Linked DNA regions of Lonchura striata. The protein of the gene in region 1 purifies or fractionates together with the protein of each later gene. This does not show direct contact. Links are inferred from orthologs where the notes say so. Each region holds a gene or a part of one and is shown on either strand. Other genes may lie near its edges.

What was found. The genes of interacting proteins can lie anywhere in the genome.
Region 2: the proteins of MTMR4 (region 1) and DNAJC10 purify together in Homo sapiens (affinity purification with mass spectrometry; 3 studies listed by BioGRID and IntAct, counting the BioPlex papers as one, with this or other methods). This does not show direct contact. The link is inferred for Lonchura striata from reciprocal best matches to the Homo sapiens genes MTMR4 and DNAJC10.

Annotation. Positions count from the first base shown.
Region 1 is NC_134622.1:1,318,050-1,325,984, reverse strand, and holds the start of MTMR4 (phosphatidylinositol-3,5-bisphosphate 3-phosphatase MTMR4), read left to right. Parts: upstream 1-4,380; 5' UTR 4,381-4,565; coding exon 4,566-4,616; intron 4,617-6,875; coding exon 6,876-6,965; intron 6,966-7,935. UniProt on the Homo sapiens protein: Lipid phosphatase that specifically dephosphorylates the D-3 position of phosphatidylinositol 3-phosphate and phosphatidylinositol 3,5-bisphosphate, generating phosphatidylinositol and phosphatidylinositol 5-phosphate.
Region 2 is NC_134610.1:24,460,560-24,468,884, forward strand, and holds the start of DNAJC10 (dnaJ homolog subfamily C member 10), read left to right. Parts: upstream 1-4,696; 5' UTR 4,697-4,901; intron 4,902-8,325. UniProt on the Homo sapiens protein: Endoplasmic reticulum disulfide reductase involved both in the correct folding of proteins and degradation of misfolded proteins.

The sequences.
Region 1 (7,935 bases):
AGCAGCATTCCCTCTCCTGACTGCTGGCATACTGGCACTGTAGGCATCTGGTTCTTACCCTCTGGAGGGGCCCATGACTTATCTGAGGTGGGCATTGGCAGCCACCCCTCGTGCTGGTGCATGGAGTTGACAGCCCATGACTTGTGCCCTTTTGTGCCTCTCCTCAAAGGTTTCTTGCTGCATATTCAGTTCCATGCTCACCTCTGGGCACCTTTCTGAACAAATACCAAATGCAGTATTACAGATCTCTAAATTATTCTATCATCCTATCCAGATTAAAACATGACACCCACCATCCCAGTCCTGATTTATGGGGTATAAAACAGTAACTTCTGTTTGCACAGGTTTAAGGGCTCGTTTCCACCTCAGGCTAAGCACCCTTTCAGTTCTCACACAAACCTCCCTAGGCTTTGAGGAAATGAACTGTTTATGTAGGGAGACCTGAAACAAAGATGCCCTTTGTGCAACAGAAGTAGGGGAGGCAGAACAAGAAGTGCCTTTGGCCACAGCTCATCAGTCTCAGCACCAGCTTATGGAGAGAGAGGGAAATACCTGTCTGAGTGCAGCTCATCTCACCCAATGCAGGAATCTGCCTGGCAGAAATAGAATAAATTTTAACTTTTAGAATGAGATAAATTATGCAAGTCTCTCCCTTCCCCATCTCACCTGGAAAACAAGACCTAGATAACCAGTTCCTAGTTTGATCTTCACTGAAAAGAAATACTCAAACCTGGAGGGATCTATAGTAGAGTATCCTGATGGCCCCTCTACTGCTGGAGCCCCTGGCTATCAGACAGAGCTTCCCTGGCTCCCACTGACTTATTTCTCATGTCCTGGAATTCCCTTTCCAGGGCAGTCACCTCCTCCTGCCAATTTTTCTGTCTGTTTTCTCCAGCTGGAGGCGGATCAGGCCAGTCTGTGCAGTGGATGTGCTACCAGGGACAGGGTATTCATGCAGATTTCTGCCAGCCCTTGCCTTCACTCCCCTCCATCTGTGCTGGAGTGAGGAGAAGTTCACTCTTAATCTATAGAAGGGATGGGTGTGGTGCCTTCTACCTAAGGAGAGAACAATTTTATTTGTGTTTAGCCAAAAAGACATAAAGCTACACTGGGATTGGGAATGGTGTGCATGTCTGTGGAAGGCTGAGTCAGGTGTGCTGGCAGCTCTCTACAATCAAAGGGACCAGTTTTTCTCTTAGAATCATGGAATGGTTTGGGTTAGAAGGGACCTGGCCAGGTGGGAATTAGCTGCACCCTGGCTCACACTTTCCCAAATTTGCAGAAAGCTGGACCTGCCACTGGCAAAATGATTTGTTTCAGGATGCTGACTGGCTCCAGAACACAAGAGATATTTCAGCATCCTGATGCCCATCCTGTGCTCCCAATGCAGATTCCTTGGGCAAGTTGGACCAGATGTTCCCTGTGAACCCTTTGCCATGGGCTGGGTTCCTGGTGCATGTATGTGTGTCTCCATAAGGAATATCATCTCCTTTGGAGGCTGCAGGCTGGCCCCTTGAGTGCCAGTCCTATCTTTGCCAAGCACTGTATCGTCTCCAAGCCTCTAAATCCCTTTTGGGACCTTCAGGAGAAGGCTGCAAGCTGTTTACCTGCAGTGTGGATCCAGGAAGGGTGGGAGGAGCAGCACAGGAACAGTGGGCATTGCTGGTGGGAGGGAAAAGGGGCAAATCACTGCCAGCTGCCCTTAAGAACATGCTGCCCGCATTATATTTGCCTCCTCCTCCTCAGAATTGAGAAACACTTGTAACGGTGGTTGGGAGATGATGAAGGAGATTTCTCTCTCTGACTACATGAACACACACACTGAGAACACTCAGAGGAGCCCAGTTGTGTGAAATAACCTTCTCTTCCTCTGTGATTTGTGACAGTGGAGAAGAGAGCCCAGCTGGGGAGGCATCCGAGGTGGCATTTAGGAATTCCCTCTGGCTAAGCCAGCTAAGGAGTCTGGAGCACTCTGCAGTCCTGTGCTGGGCTGCCCAGCACCACTCCTGCCTTTGCCCAGGTCACTGGAGGGAAAGGAGGGCAAGTATTTTGGGAACTCATGAAGGAAGTGAAAGCAGAGTCTGTATCAAGTTCCTCTTGAAAGTCTGTGAAGCCACTGAACTTCAGAGCAACGTTTCTGCTCTGCACTAGGCTCAGTGCTTGGGTAGAAGTTTCTAAGTAATGTGTGAGTCTTTTTCTGATACTAAAAGTGCAAAAATATTTCAGTGAAAGCAGAAGTTCTATTTGTGAACATTCAGGTCAGCTTAGGTTGGAAATTCAGAGTACTGATCTGAAGAGCAGTCCTTTAACTCTGCACAGCTGCAGCTTAAGGGGGTTACAATGCAAACAATCCTTGTGCCAGGCCCTGAACTGAGCCTTGGCCCTAAAAATCTTACTGTTGGTTGGAGCAAACCTCTTACCTACCTTGTCTGTGGTTTTGTTCATTACAGACTCTGTTCTTGCGCTGTGTGCTCTTAACAGCAATGTGTACTCTCAGTCTGCCCAAGAGAGTCCCGGACTTCAGCTGTTTCCCAAATGTGCTGTGTTGCTTTTCCCCTGATACATGTCAAAAACCCAATAAATATTTGCTTTCTAGTGTTTCTAGCCACACTTTCTCTCCAGTATAAAAGGTTCCTTCAGCTTTAGCTGCTCTGGTTTCTCTCAGCATTCCCTCCAGTGACCCAGGCAAAGGTCACCTGCAGGGAGCAGGACACTTCTCCTGCCACTCACTTTTGGCCAAGACAAATCTGTAACCTCATCCATAACCTTCTGTCCTTATGTGTAAGCCTCTGTTTGTGTCCATAACCCTATATTTTTGTGTTCTGGTTTGTGGGTGCCAACTGGTTCAAGTGCCCCAAGGATGAGCAACGCCTGACACTCACCCACTATGTGCTCCATGTAAATGGTGGAGTGGGGCAAAGCAAGGGTGAAATGGGATTTCATGGCTTATCTGCAGGTGTGGCTATGTGTTCATCTAAGTCTTCTATCCTAAGTAGTGAAACTGGTGTAACCATGTGAGTCTGGGGGATTCTTTTGCCAGCAAGGGAGCTCATGGAACTGAATTTTGCCCTGCAAATAACAGTGAGCAGCATGTCTGGGTATCACAAAGCTGTCCCTTTAGTCGAGGCAGCTCTGAATATGCTAACCTTGAACAATTTTGCAGAGAAATGCTGAAGACTTTTATCTGACTCAAGAAAAGCTCTTTGAGATCCCATTGGTATTGCTGGGAAGAGCAGTCTGTGGTGTCTTTGGGGCAAACACATCTAAGATGAGCTCAATGGCTACAGGCTGTGCTCTGTTTGGATTTGTGTTGTGGGAGCAAAAAGCTGATGTGATTTGAGCCATTTAGTGGGGCCTTTGAGGACTGATGAAGGGTCAGGTTTTAATTTTGCATTCTAACAGAGATTCTCCCTCTGCTGGGGGCAGAATAGCAGCTGATGGTAGAAATGAAGATGGGGCTGTCCAGGAAGCTGCTTCTCTGGTTGCTGAGATAGACTGTGACCTGGGAGCTGTTTGCTCCTGGGCTTGATGAACAGCAGGTAGTAAAGGTGAGCTTGTAGGGGGCTGGTGTTGGGAGGTTGGGTGCTCAGCCACAGCATTTCCTGCGCACACGGCCTTACCCTGTGTCTGTATTTCCAACGGGAGCTGGGGAAAGTTCACATGGGAGCTAAGCGTCCAAGTGGTCATTGAGTGGTCCACTCCAGAGCCCAGGCTCCAGCACACAGGTGCTGGTGGGACATCTGACTAGTCCCTATGCACATGAAGCTCCTGGAAAGGTGGACTTTTCATCTTGGGACTGTTGAATCACTATTCAACATGGTGAATGCAGCAGGACAGCCCCCTTATCCTCACCTCCCGCTCCAGGCACGGAGGACTGCTGGAAGACAGAAGGCTCAGGGGTGCAGTCGCACATCCTGGCTGAGCTTCTGGAGCAGGGCAGGTGCCGGGGGCTGGACATTGGAGTGGGGGGCTGGGGACAGAGGCCTCAGGGCAAAGGGGTTGATGCTGGGGTGGAGAGGTCAGCACAGGGATGAAGGGCTCAGGGCAGAGGGTTTGATGCCGGGGCGGAGGGCTCGGAGCAGAGGCCTCGGTGCTCGTGTGGGGTCAATGGGCTCCGGGGAAGGCTCCGTGCAGGGCTCGCGGTGCCGGGCACGCAGCCGCCTCCCCGCTATTGTTGCCGTCGCTCCCAGCGCCGCCATCGGTGCGGCCCGAGCAGGAGCCGGCGGGAGCAGCGCCCCGGGCCGGGAATGCCGCTCCCGGCCGAGGAACGGGCCGTGCCCGCAGGGCCGCCGCCCGCTCCATTTTCTGTCTCCCCGTCACCGAGACGCTCAGATGGCAGAGCGGCGCTCGGCGGTCCTGGGAGGGAGGTGGAGTCTGCCCATCCTCCGCCCGCCCTCCCTCCATTGTCGGCGGCGGCGCCGGCACCTGCTCGGGCTGCCGGCGGCCGGGATGCTCCTGCCCTTCCTGGCGGAGCGGGGACGCTGCCGCAGTGCCGGGGCCGCAGCTCGCAGCCGGAGGGAGGAGATGCTGCTTGTGCCTGCCCGGCCCTGCTGCCGTCTCGGGAAATGAACATGAGTCTGCCAGGCCGCGTCTCCTGCTCCATGCTCAACTGCTTTGTAAGTGCTGCTTTTTATTCTCCTTCTCTCCTCCGTGGAAGCGGGGCCGTAAGCCAGCTGCAGTCTCCAACTCGCATGCCGGTGGAGGCATCCTCTGGATCGGCCCGGGGAGAAGGGGGACCCCCTTTCTTGGCTCTCACACGCTGCCGGAGGACGGCGCGGCCCGTCCCTGCTGCCCCGCCGGGCCCAAGGGCACAGCAGTGCCCGGCTGAGCCCTGGCCGCTGGGCTGGGCCCCGCAGGCTCTGCACCCTGCCTGGAGCTGGGAATTACCGTGCTGGAGCAGCCAGACCCCGAGCCCCCGCCCCTCACTGCCCGCGGCCCTGTGGGACCCCTCCGGTGCGGTGCTGGGCTGTGCGGGGTCCTGTGCTCGGCGCCTTTTTCACCTTCAGCGAGAGGGGTTTTCCTGCTCTGAGCCTTCTTGCAGGCCCACCCTCAACCCCCCAGGGCACTCCTGGCCAGATGGGCTCCGAGGGCTTCAGGAGGCTTGTGGAGAGAGCAGCGTGCTGACCCCCACGCTGCTGGTAGCAGGGATGGGGCCGTGGCAGGAGGGGATGCTCAGCCTCTGCCTGCCCTGTGCTGCAGGCGAGGAGGGACTCAAGGACACCCAGGCGGGTGGAGAGCTCAGGCTGTTCTGTTCCAGTTCCTGCTGCTCCCTGGGATTTCTCTGCGAGCTGCAAAGTGAGGATGGGAGAGCATCTCTGCTTCCTGGCTGCTGCACCGGCACATGGGCACGCACCTTCTCTTTGTGCTCTTCTGGGCTGGTGCCTCAGCCTTGGAGTGAGCCACTGGCAGGAGGGGCCCCAAGGCCCCCGTGGTCTCCAGTGAGCATTGGCTGCTGCTGGAGATGGTGCTGTGCTCTGTGTCCCTCACAGCATGGTGACAGGGGCAGTGCCTTTGCCTCCAGCTGCGCCTGAGGCTGAGTTTTATGAAGGCTCTAACAGCATGTTACATGCATGCAGGTTCCTTGGATGTGGGGTGGGAGGGGTCTGGCTGCCCCTGTCTGACGTTCTGGGAGCACCTCAGGCCAGGCTCTTCCTTCAGGCGCTGAGGCTTTAGCACCTCTCAGTAACACAAGAGGATTCAGCATCATTTGAAATATTCCTGAGCCAGAAGGATTGAGATCTCCTTTCTTCAGGTTGGAATTGGGATTCTGGCTTGGGTGGCATATCCAGAAAGATATGTCATTTTAAAATGTTACTCAGTGCTTACAGAACACAGTGTTTTCTGATAAATGCTAGAGCCTAGAAGTAGAGTTTTGAAGAAAACATTCCCACACCAAATACATGTGGAATTAGCACCATCCTGGACTCCCAGCAGTGAGCATCTGCAGCTGAATGTCTGAGTGCCACTCCTTTGGGCAGCAATTCAGTGATGTGACAGGGCCTGGGTGAGAGCTGGTGAAAATTGGCACCAGTGGTTCACACCAGAGCTTAAGGAGCATTGGGACAATGCTCTGATACGCATGGTGGGATTTGGGGTGTTCTGTGCAGGGCCAGGAGTGGGACTTGATGATCCTTATCCCTTCCAGCTCATACCCTGATTGTATAATGAAGATTCTCGTGTTCCAAACGGAGACATACACTCCACTTGTCAAGGATGGCATGTACAGGTTCTGTGTGACCATCCTGAGGCCTCTGTGTGTTTTCTCAGGTGTCCATCTGAACAGGGTCAACATGTCCAGCTGCCCTGGGCTTGGTGCTGGCACCAGTCAGTAGTGCCTGTTGTGAGTTATGTGCACTGGGGTACAGTTGTGGTAGGGTTGTAGGTTGTTCACAGTTGTATCTTCTCCAGAAGATTCAGGGTCTTCCCAGATGTCTTTGGTGTGAGAGTGAAAACAAAAACTCCCAAAACAAAGCAGTCCTTAAGAGGAGGAAGAATAGGCTGACATTGGACTGTAGATGGAAACCCTCTGTCATGGTGTGTGTGCTCTGGTGCCATGGAGCAGGTAACGGGAACAGCTGACGTGACAAGTTACTGTCACATCAGTCCCCTGTGGCCAAGGTGTGTCTGCTTGACTTTCCAAACACCACTCAGCTGGAAGAGGCGGGACTTGGAGGCTTCAGCATTTCACTGTGCTGTGGGTACTCTGCAACAGTCAGAGGAGCTGCTGGGGTCTGGAGGCAGAACAGACATTTCCATGCACAGGTATCCATCCCCAAGCTCCTGGGCTGCCAAAAGTATCCAGCAGCTTCAATTTTTGGCTTTCACAGCGTGTTCTGGCCGAGGCTGTCTGACTGTGTCCTCTGTTTGCAATGCAGGGTGAGGAGGGCCCTCCCAGTTTGGAGTACATCCAGGCCAAGGACTTGTTCCCTCCGAAGGAGCTCATAAAGGAGGAGGAGTCACTGCAGGTAAGGAAGTAAAAACACCCAAACAGCTCAGGGATGTGCAGGCTAGGCTCTGCAGAGCAGTTCTCCAGCCCAGCACATCCTGGAGGCCACAGGTGGGCTAGGTTGGGGGCACATTCAGGGCAGCAGGTCCCTGTGCTTGGGGGCCAGGCCAGCTGTCCCCAGAGCCCTGTCCCTGTGTGCCCAGCCCTGGCAGGATGTGGCCAGCATTGCCAGCCATGGAGAGTGTGGCACAGCCAGCCCTGGCATTTCCTGTGGGAAGTGCTGCTGCTACCCTGCCCTGCAGGAGCATCCAGGGAGATTCCCGGGACAGGGGCAGCATGGGGGCCGTGCTCTGTGCAGCCCTGCAGCTGCACTGCCTGCTCTCCCCTCGAGCACCTTGTCCTGCTGCATGGTGGCTGGAAGAAAGAACCCCTGTATGGTGCCAGCCTCCTGCTGCAAAAGCCCTGGGAAGAGCCCCGGGTGCTGCTGCTGCTGTGCAGCAGGGGCAGCATTCCCTCCTGGGAATTGGTGCTTCCTTTAACAACCTCTGGTGCTCACCGTTCTCCTCCTGGGGCTGGAGCCCGGTTCACCTTGTTCTTGCTGCTGCAGTGTTTTGAGTTTGTTCAGAGACTGTCACCGCCTTGGCAAACAGTGCAGGGGAAAAGAAGGACTGAGAGCTGTTGGCTTGAAGGAACAGCCGTAGGCTGGGGAGTTGTGCAGGGTCAGGCCTGCAGGGCTGTGGCTTTGGGGGGTGAAGCTGCTGAGGCGACTCTGAGCTGAGACTTCTGGAGAAGAGCACTCTCTGCCTTAGTTTGCTGTGTGGAGAAGTAAAGTTCAACCCTCCCAAGGGTAATTTGCCTTCAGTAAATTGTTAATTTATTATAAAGCAGTGTTCAGGACCAGCTTGGATGGGACTTAGAACCTGGCCTAGTGGAAGGTGTCTCTTGCCCATGGCAGGGAATGGGACTGGATGAGCTTGGGTTGGGATGTC
Region 2 (8,325 bases), on another chromosome or scaffold:
TATTTTACTCCAGAGTTGTCAGCCTTTCCTTCTCTGCAGTCTCATTTACATTATTCAATACACTTTCCATGTTTTCCAAATACTAATGGTGCAATACAGAAGTTCCATAAACTCAGCCTTTTCAACAGCAAATGCATCATATTCAAAATGTTCTTAGATATAAGTTGTCCCTTATTTGGTCTTCAGTGAAGACCACAGATGGGAATAACATTTGCTCACACTTAATTGCAGAGCAGACTATTTAATAATCAATGTGCTGGCACATTCTTCATTTTGTCTTAAAATAAAAGTGTTTTCTTTAAAAGAACTAAGTTCCACTGGATAAAATTCCAAAAGTCTTCTTTTTTATTTTAAAGACAGCATGGAAGTTCAGTGATCATGCAGACCAAAATCCTAGAAGACTTTCCAGCAGTTCCAGCCAAGGATATACAGGAATTCAACAGTACCAGCACCCTGAAGTTGTGACTTCTGACTAGTTAACACAACACTATTAAGGTTTAATGAAAGGAGGTATTTAATACTCACTTGACAATTTAAAAGGGAACAAACTAATGATGCCAACTGACCACTCAGTGATGCATACTGTAAGAAATGACAGTCAGGGGCAAGAAATCACCCATGTGCTATTTTCTTGGTACATAGTACATGGAAATGTGACTTGAACTAACACCCTGCTCCTGCCATAAAAATCTAACTGCAAAGCAAAGCTAAGATTAACTTCTCATCCTAACAAACCATTAGAGACTTTTTTGTATCTATGCAAAAGTAATGCAGCAAAAGTAATTTGGCAGCATTTTAATACTATCCAAGAAAGACAATCTGACAAAGGAAATCAAGTCTGAAATCATAAACAGCTGCAGAGAGCAAAACTTGACTTAAGCAAGGTAGCACAAATAATAAAATATGTCCTATATTAAAGTCACTTGTATATTCTAGCTGTGGAGCACTCCCTGTATTACACAAACAGAAATGTAGCATTTAAAAGGACATGGATGTAATGGGGACTAATGTTCCAAGGTCTAATTGTGCATTGTTCTCTGCATGATCACCTACTCATTTAAATTGGTGAAACATGCCCCCTTGGAATCCTATGAGTTCCTTAGCTGGAAGGGGCCCAAAAGGATGATCAAATCCAACTCCTGACTTCAGTAAATACAGACCTCAAGCCCCTGTTACAAATTGCTTGCACTCAATCATCCCAAAACTACTTGTAATCCTCAAAAATATAATTTTTCTGGTTTTTGTTAAATTGTACACAGAGGCATGTTCTGCACAAGCCCATTATTTTTAAGTACATTTTTTATTGTAATGTACTGTTTACAATGAGAAAATTTATTAATTTTAGATTTTTTATTCTTTCACATATCCACTAAAGCCATGCATACTTCACTGGGTGTAAGGACAACAGTGTTAATGTTAAGCCTGTGACAAAAATTTAAAATAATTCCTGTATGTATCTACTTGACAAAACACGAAAGAATATCCCTCTTTATTCTTAATAACTTTCTATAATGTTCAAGTCAAGTGATTTTGTAAGAAAACTGATTTTGTAACCATTTGTCTCCATGAACATCAGCCACGCAAATAACACTACAAGTTTAACCACTCTTATCCCTTTAACCATCCTGATATTTCTGTATCTATCTTCCATTGACAAAAATATGCTTAATGAAAGAAGTGCAGTGTTCTCCTTTCCAAAACACAAGCTGGATTTATTAGCTTCACAGATTTATTAATGACATTACATGTAACATGATATAATTTGTTCTGAATTACATGGATACAAAAAGAAATATACTGAATGTTCTAATCAAGGGGCCCTTACACTTGGAGAAACACTGTGTTGAGCTAAGAAGAGCAAACTGCCTTTCATTTTTTTAGAAAAGGTATCTTAAAGAATGGCTTTGGTAGGTGAAAATTCAGTATCACACTAACTGTAAATTTATAAACTGTTCTAATTCAGATGCAAATTCATACAAATAGGAGGTTTTGAAATAATTTGTTGAATATATGTGATATCCTAAGAATATATTCTGACTACCTTTTTATAAATTTTCCTTTATACTCCCTGATATAGAGACCTAAACTTGGAATTGCTGTGATTCATTTTTTCTGAAAGGATTATATTGATATTACAATGTTATATTATATTATACAAAGTAAGTTGGTCATAGCTAGATTTAAAAGAAAAAAGTACCATTTTATTTGCAGTTGGTTTTATTTATATACTGAGAACGTAACTTTTCCTAGAACCTAAGTAATACTCTGGTCTCTGAATGCAAATTGTTACAGAAATACAATTAACCTATCATGAGATTTTTTAAGATTCTTCTGAAATACTTAATCTTTTAATTTTTATATGTTACCAGTGATGCCATTTTGTTAGAGAAATGTATTTAGTAATAGGCACAGTGGAATTAAGTGTCACCCTTAGCACACCAACCTGAGAATCTGGAGAAGGATTTTCTTTTGTCATACACTGCCTGTAAGGCCTTGCCTAACTCAGTCTCCCCATGCCTTCAGTATGCGAAGATGAAGCATGTGTCCCATCATAGGTTTGCTGGTGTAATATTTAACATTTTTATCCTTTCCTTGGCAAGTTGCTTAAAGAGGGAGAGGGAAATCATGATGCCAAAACAACCAGAAAAGGCATTTTTGCAGCTATCTGGTATGCATAACATGTAGAGTGGGTTTTGTTGCTGTTTTTCAGTTTCTTGGGTGGGAGGAATTTTTGGGGGGATGCAGAGGGGATTGTTTGTTTCTTGGTTTCTCTGGATTTCTTTAAATCTACAGTGCTAGAAATGCTGTGTTCGGATTGTCCCAAGTTTTTCCAAGTTCCTGTCTCACTCATTGCAATTCAATCTGGGTCCATCCAAGAGAATCCCACAGCAAACCCAATCCAACATTGTCTGGAACATCCAGACACATTTGCAGACATTGGACTTTCCAAGCTGCACGCACGGTATAACTCACATGGGGGATCTGGAAACACTCCTGCAAACTCTTGTCATAGCTGGATGTGAATAGAAATAAACCAAAACAAATCTTTCTCAAGAAAAACTCTGCTGTACCATCTGCTAAGGAGCACTTTGCTCCTTATGGCCAGTTAAAACACTGTGTAGTCCTTTACAAAGGCTTTTGCAGATGATGTTCTATCACTTTATACTGCCTCTGCAATAATGTTTTCCAAACTCAGCTGCCCATGAATTCTAAAATAATGTTTAACTGACCAAATATTTTAATGTGTGTAAACAGTCCTTTTGACCTAAGTGAAAAGGTGAACATACAGCTAGAACTATTGCAATACACTTTGATCCCTAACTAAGCTCAGTTTCTTTTCAAGTAAACAAACATTCATAGTCCATCACTACAACAGTTTTAAAATATCAAGTTTTATGCCCTACATGGGCCTCTAAAAATATCAAAACATTCAAAAGTTCAGGCATTTATACTTTGACAACTAATGTTGCAATTATATTACATTATATCTTTAAATATTATGCACCTCAAATATATCTTGAGACATACCTTAAATGTTTATTTTTGTATGCCTGTTTTAGTTTTCTGTGTTACATCACATTTTCTTTTTATTCCTGCTTTTCATCCACTTTTTGTTCCCCACTAACTGATCCACTGCAATTACAAGGGGGTCTAGGCCAGGTCAAATTAAGGACCACAAAACTCTGTGTAAACATTCAGATTCTGTTTACAAGATGGATCCAAGCAAAAGCTCCCAAGGTTAACTCTCACAAGAGGTATTTTACTTCAAGAGGTTTCTTTTCCCCTGAAGCAGAGCAAGCATGAAAATCAAGTTGTTTGAGTCTAAAAGGGAAACAGTTGCAGCAGAGCTCCTGCAGCCTCTCCTGCCATCAGCAAAGGTAGAATTCACCAGGAGCACCAGGAGGGGTTCTGCTATTGCACTGTTCTTGCACCTCATTACAGCTTGCATCATACTCAAATGCTTTTACTGGCCCCTGAAAAACAGTATTTTATTGGAAAAAAAAAAAAAAAAAAAAAACAACAAAAAAAACCAAACTCCAAAACCATTGAAAAACTGTTCCCTTCTGCTCTCATTACCAAGACTTATCTACTGTGCTTTGGGCTCCCTCTCACCTCTGCCTAAATAAACCTTTCCTCCTTTTGATATTTAATATCACCCAAGACTGCCAGATATGGCTGGGACAGCTATGCCATGAAGTGCACATTCTAAAAAGCTCCATTGTATTGTTTTTATCCAAAACCTTTGGAAACTGTGGTGGACACAGAATTTCAGATCTGTATCCTGCTTAATGCAGACCAAGGTAAGAAAATTAGGTGAGTTTTTGTCTTACAATTTAAGTATTTTGTTTCATCAAACCACCAGGCAAGGTCTTTGGCCTAACTCCACATTAGAAACAGCATAAAATAAAGGACATGAAATATCAAATGTTATATTAATATATTACTAGAAAATTTGAATATTCTGCCATTTTCATAATTCACAGCAACTTGTTAAAAAAATGTTCTCACTATCCACTTTATGCCTCAGAATCTTTCATTTTTTCCAGGAAAAGTGCCCTGTTCAGAGTTATTCTCCTGGGAAACATGGATTTTTATTCCAGTCAACTCCCAGCTCAGTTAATTTCACAATGGATTGCAATAGGAGTAAGTCTACAGAGCTGAGGGCAGTGTTTCCTCTCCATGTGTGTCAGAGGGATTTACTCCAGAGGAGCACTGACCTCATCCCTTGGATCAACCACCATTTAGTGGCTGGAAAGCAGTGTGTGTTCCTGGGGCAAATCTTATTTTGCCTTCACCCAAATGGGATCAAGTTCATGTTCTCCAAGACACATTCATAACACGAATGGAAGCCTGATAGCCAAGGAAGATTATGACTTCTGTGTCCCTCTGCAGGATCAGAGGTGAGTAAACTCAGAAACTCAGTCACCCATTTTTATTTGCCATTAAAAGAGTGCAGAGGTTTCCTGTGTTTGCTGTGACAAACGTGCAAGACCTACCAATACTTTGAGCACATCAAGTAACTTCTAGGAGTCAAGAAGCTGAGAGAAAAAGACCTCTTCAAAAATAGATTTTTTAATGCCATAAGAACTCCTACAATTGTCATTTGTTGGCCAACACCTTTTGCTGGAAAAATAAAATGGGAAAGAGAGAGACAATACATTCATGGTTCCTTAATTCTACAGTAAGAAGCCAGGCTAGAAGACAATTCCATGTAAAGGCTCTCCAAAAGAAAAAAAGCATTGGAAAATTTGGTGCAAATACTGTTTATTATCCTCATGTTGAAACTGTAATTTCTTTCAGAGTTAATCTAGAGGCAATGAATTAATAATGAATATTATTTAAATCATCTCTTGAGACATCTCAGTTAAGATATGGAAAGTCACAAAAGCACCAAGAAAAAACAAAACAGATGCAATGATTTGCATAAATATAATTTGCTAAAATAATATTTGACTGGAATGCAGTTAAAATCTTAGGATCCTATATGTCACACATTGCTACATTCCTTTCTATACCAGCAATGCCCTGAGTTTTGCTCTGAAGACAGCTGCTATCATTTTTAAGGCCACCTAATAATTTTCCTTGAACATTCCTCAGATGTAAAAGCTATTTTCCACACTTAGTTTCCATAGATACAGTAGATTTTTTATTAATCAGAATGATAGCCTGCAAACTGCTAAGCAAACACATCATCAGAGAGCAGTTAATATTCCAAGCTGTGTCTGTTTAAACAGGGTCCCACTCTGATCACATTTAATTATGGGCAATTAAGGCAGAGTGGAATTGGACTACATGATATTTTCTAAATGGAGATTTTAATACTGTGGTTCAAGAGAGAAACACGGGTCAGTTAGCACTTAGTGCTGATACTTACAGAGCATACTGAGAAAAACAATCAGTTGCTGCTTCAGGGAAGAAAAATCTCTGTCAGGGAGACCAAATTAAAGCATCATTTCATCCAAGTATTTGACTAAAATTGAATTTTAATCCAGGAAAGCTAAACAGATAAACCAAATACCAGAGGGGAAACAGAGCTCTTTATCTATCGAGTTAAACCAAACAAATCTGGAAACATGCATCCAAAGTAAAGGCTCCAGCATCTTTTGCTTAAACAGTGATTTGGATTTTTTTTCTGCCTGTCTCAATAGGCCAGTGAAGCAAAACAGATGGGCTAATAATTATTGCTGGGTTAAAGTTGCTACCTGGTCTGAAAAATCTTAGCCTTGCAACTCAGCATGTAAAGTATCTGAAAGACTCTGAAGAAGTAAAGGACTCATGAGTATTCAGAACTCAGAGACATTTTAAAACTAAGAAAAAGATAATTTTTAATCATATCCACAAGCATTCTCTTTCCTTTATCATCTCCAAATATCTGAACTGCTTAAGAATGAGAATGAGTTGATATCAAAAATATTTGCAGCAAGTGGAAGAAATGAAATAAAGTATGCTTTTGTAACAAAAAGAGGCAAAAGGAGAGGTGTTGCAGAAACACAGTATTAAAACTGGTTCTCTCCCTGGGGAGTGCTCATTAGCCAAGTAATTGATCCTCGTGTTGTGTCAAATATTGAAATATTCTGGCCCCTCTCATGTACTTATGTGGCTATATTTAGTGACTAAACCAGCAGAATGTTGGCCTTCCCAAAACAGACACATACCTGTGATCTGAAGCACAATGAAGCTTCATTTACTTTTCTGACAAAAATAATTTCCAGTTTCTTGGTGTAGCTGTGGGCAAATGTATCTGTCATTATGTTAGTATGACAGAAGTTTTTATTGCAACTTCTGAAGCAAGTCCACCACCAGTGGGCAGATATTGCTATGGCAACTCAGCACAAGTGCAGAAACTTCTGAAGGTGTTAGGCAACACAGTGCCATCAGCTGCTGATGTTGCTCGAGTTTAGTGCAGTTCATCTTGTCCACAGTCATCTAATCCAGTACACCAAAAATAGAGCTTTCAGCAAAGTGATCTGGAACCAAGCTGTGATAGAAAATTAACAAATTACAATGCAGTGGGAAAAAAAAAAAAGAATGAAACAGAAAAGTGGCTCAGTTTTCTCTTTTGGAAAATCCAATATAGAATAGTGAATTTGTTCAGTTGTTTTTTAAATGCAGGGCATGTAATTCTTACTAACACTTATATAATTAGTTGGAAAAATGTAATACAGAATTTTTTTTTTAATTTTGTAAAATGAAAATTTCGAGAAGTATTTTTACTTTAGAACACTCGGTTCCTATCCCTGCAATAATTTTAATTTCACTTGCAGTGGTCTATATAAAACAAATCTTAGTAACTTTCCTATTAAAATTCTTCACATAGTTTGAGGAAGGAAAATAATGAGAACTGCCCTTCATTTTGGCTATTGCGAAAGTTAAGAAGGCTACAGAGAAGTGCTTTCTCTCACACAGGGGATGGCTCCTGCAGAAGAGTGCAATACCCTTCCAGAGGAGTGTGGACAAGCTCATGCTGCTGCTGCTGCCATGGGCTTGCTAAGTGAGGGGAAAAAACCTTTAGTCTTTCTTTTTAGTGCAATGGAGCAATACATTCAAACACAACTTTTAAAGCAAGGACTAATCAGTGAACTACAAATTATTATCCAAATATTCTGTTCCAGCTGTCTTCTGTATAGCGAGCTGAGTATATTCTTGTAGGTCTGGAAAGAGACCAGAGGCAGTGCTAATACCTTGGAGAAGTGTTCCTCTACATCCAAAAGGAAATCCTAACAAAAACATCCAGGTTACTGCTAATTGTCAAAGAAAATGGAGAACACATAATGCCACAAAGACAACTGGGAAAAAGAATTAAATATGCAAAGTGCAAAAGACTGAATGAGACAAAATGAAGAGAGGGGTTACATTTATAGTTCACAGGCACACAAATGATTTTAGAATGCTGTAAGACACATGATGTAAAAGTGCCACAGTGAAAAAAGTTTTGATACTTCATTAAATATGGACAGGTTTCTGTGGATCTAATGCACCTAAAAATACTGAGTGGTTTACTCCCTGAAAGATCCAGCACTACCCTCCCTACAGGGGTGAGCACAAAAAAATGAAGACAACGGCAGATGCACTTGCTTAACTCTTCAAGTAAAAATAAGATCAGTTACAAGAGTTTTCAGAATTATCTCCAAGACTACATGGAACTCTCACACATTAGAGGCCTTCTGTCCTCAGCACCTTGAGGAGCTCTCCAATGCTCTTAATTACTTATAGTACTCCTGCAACATTACTTGCTTTAACTTTAATCAAAATATCCATGGAAAGCTCAAACGTCCCTACCTGAAGAGCAGGAGCATCTCACCTGATTAAGAGATTTCTTTTAGG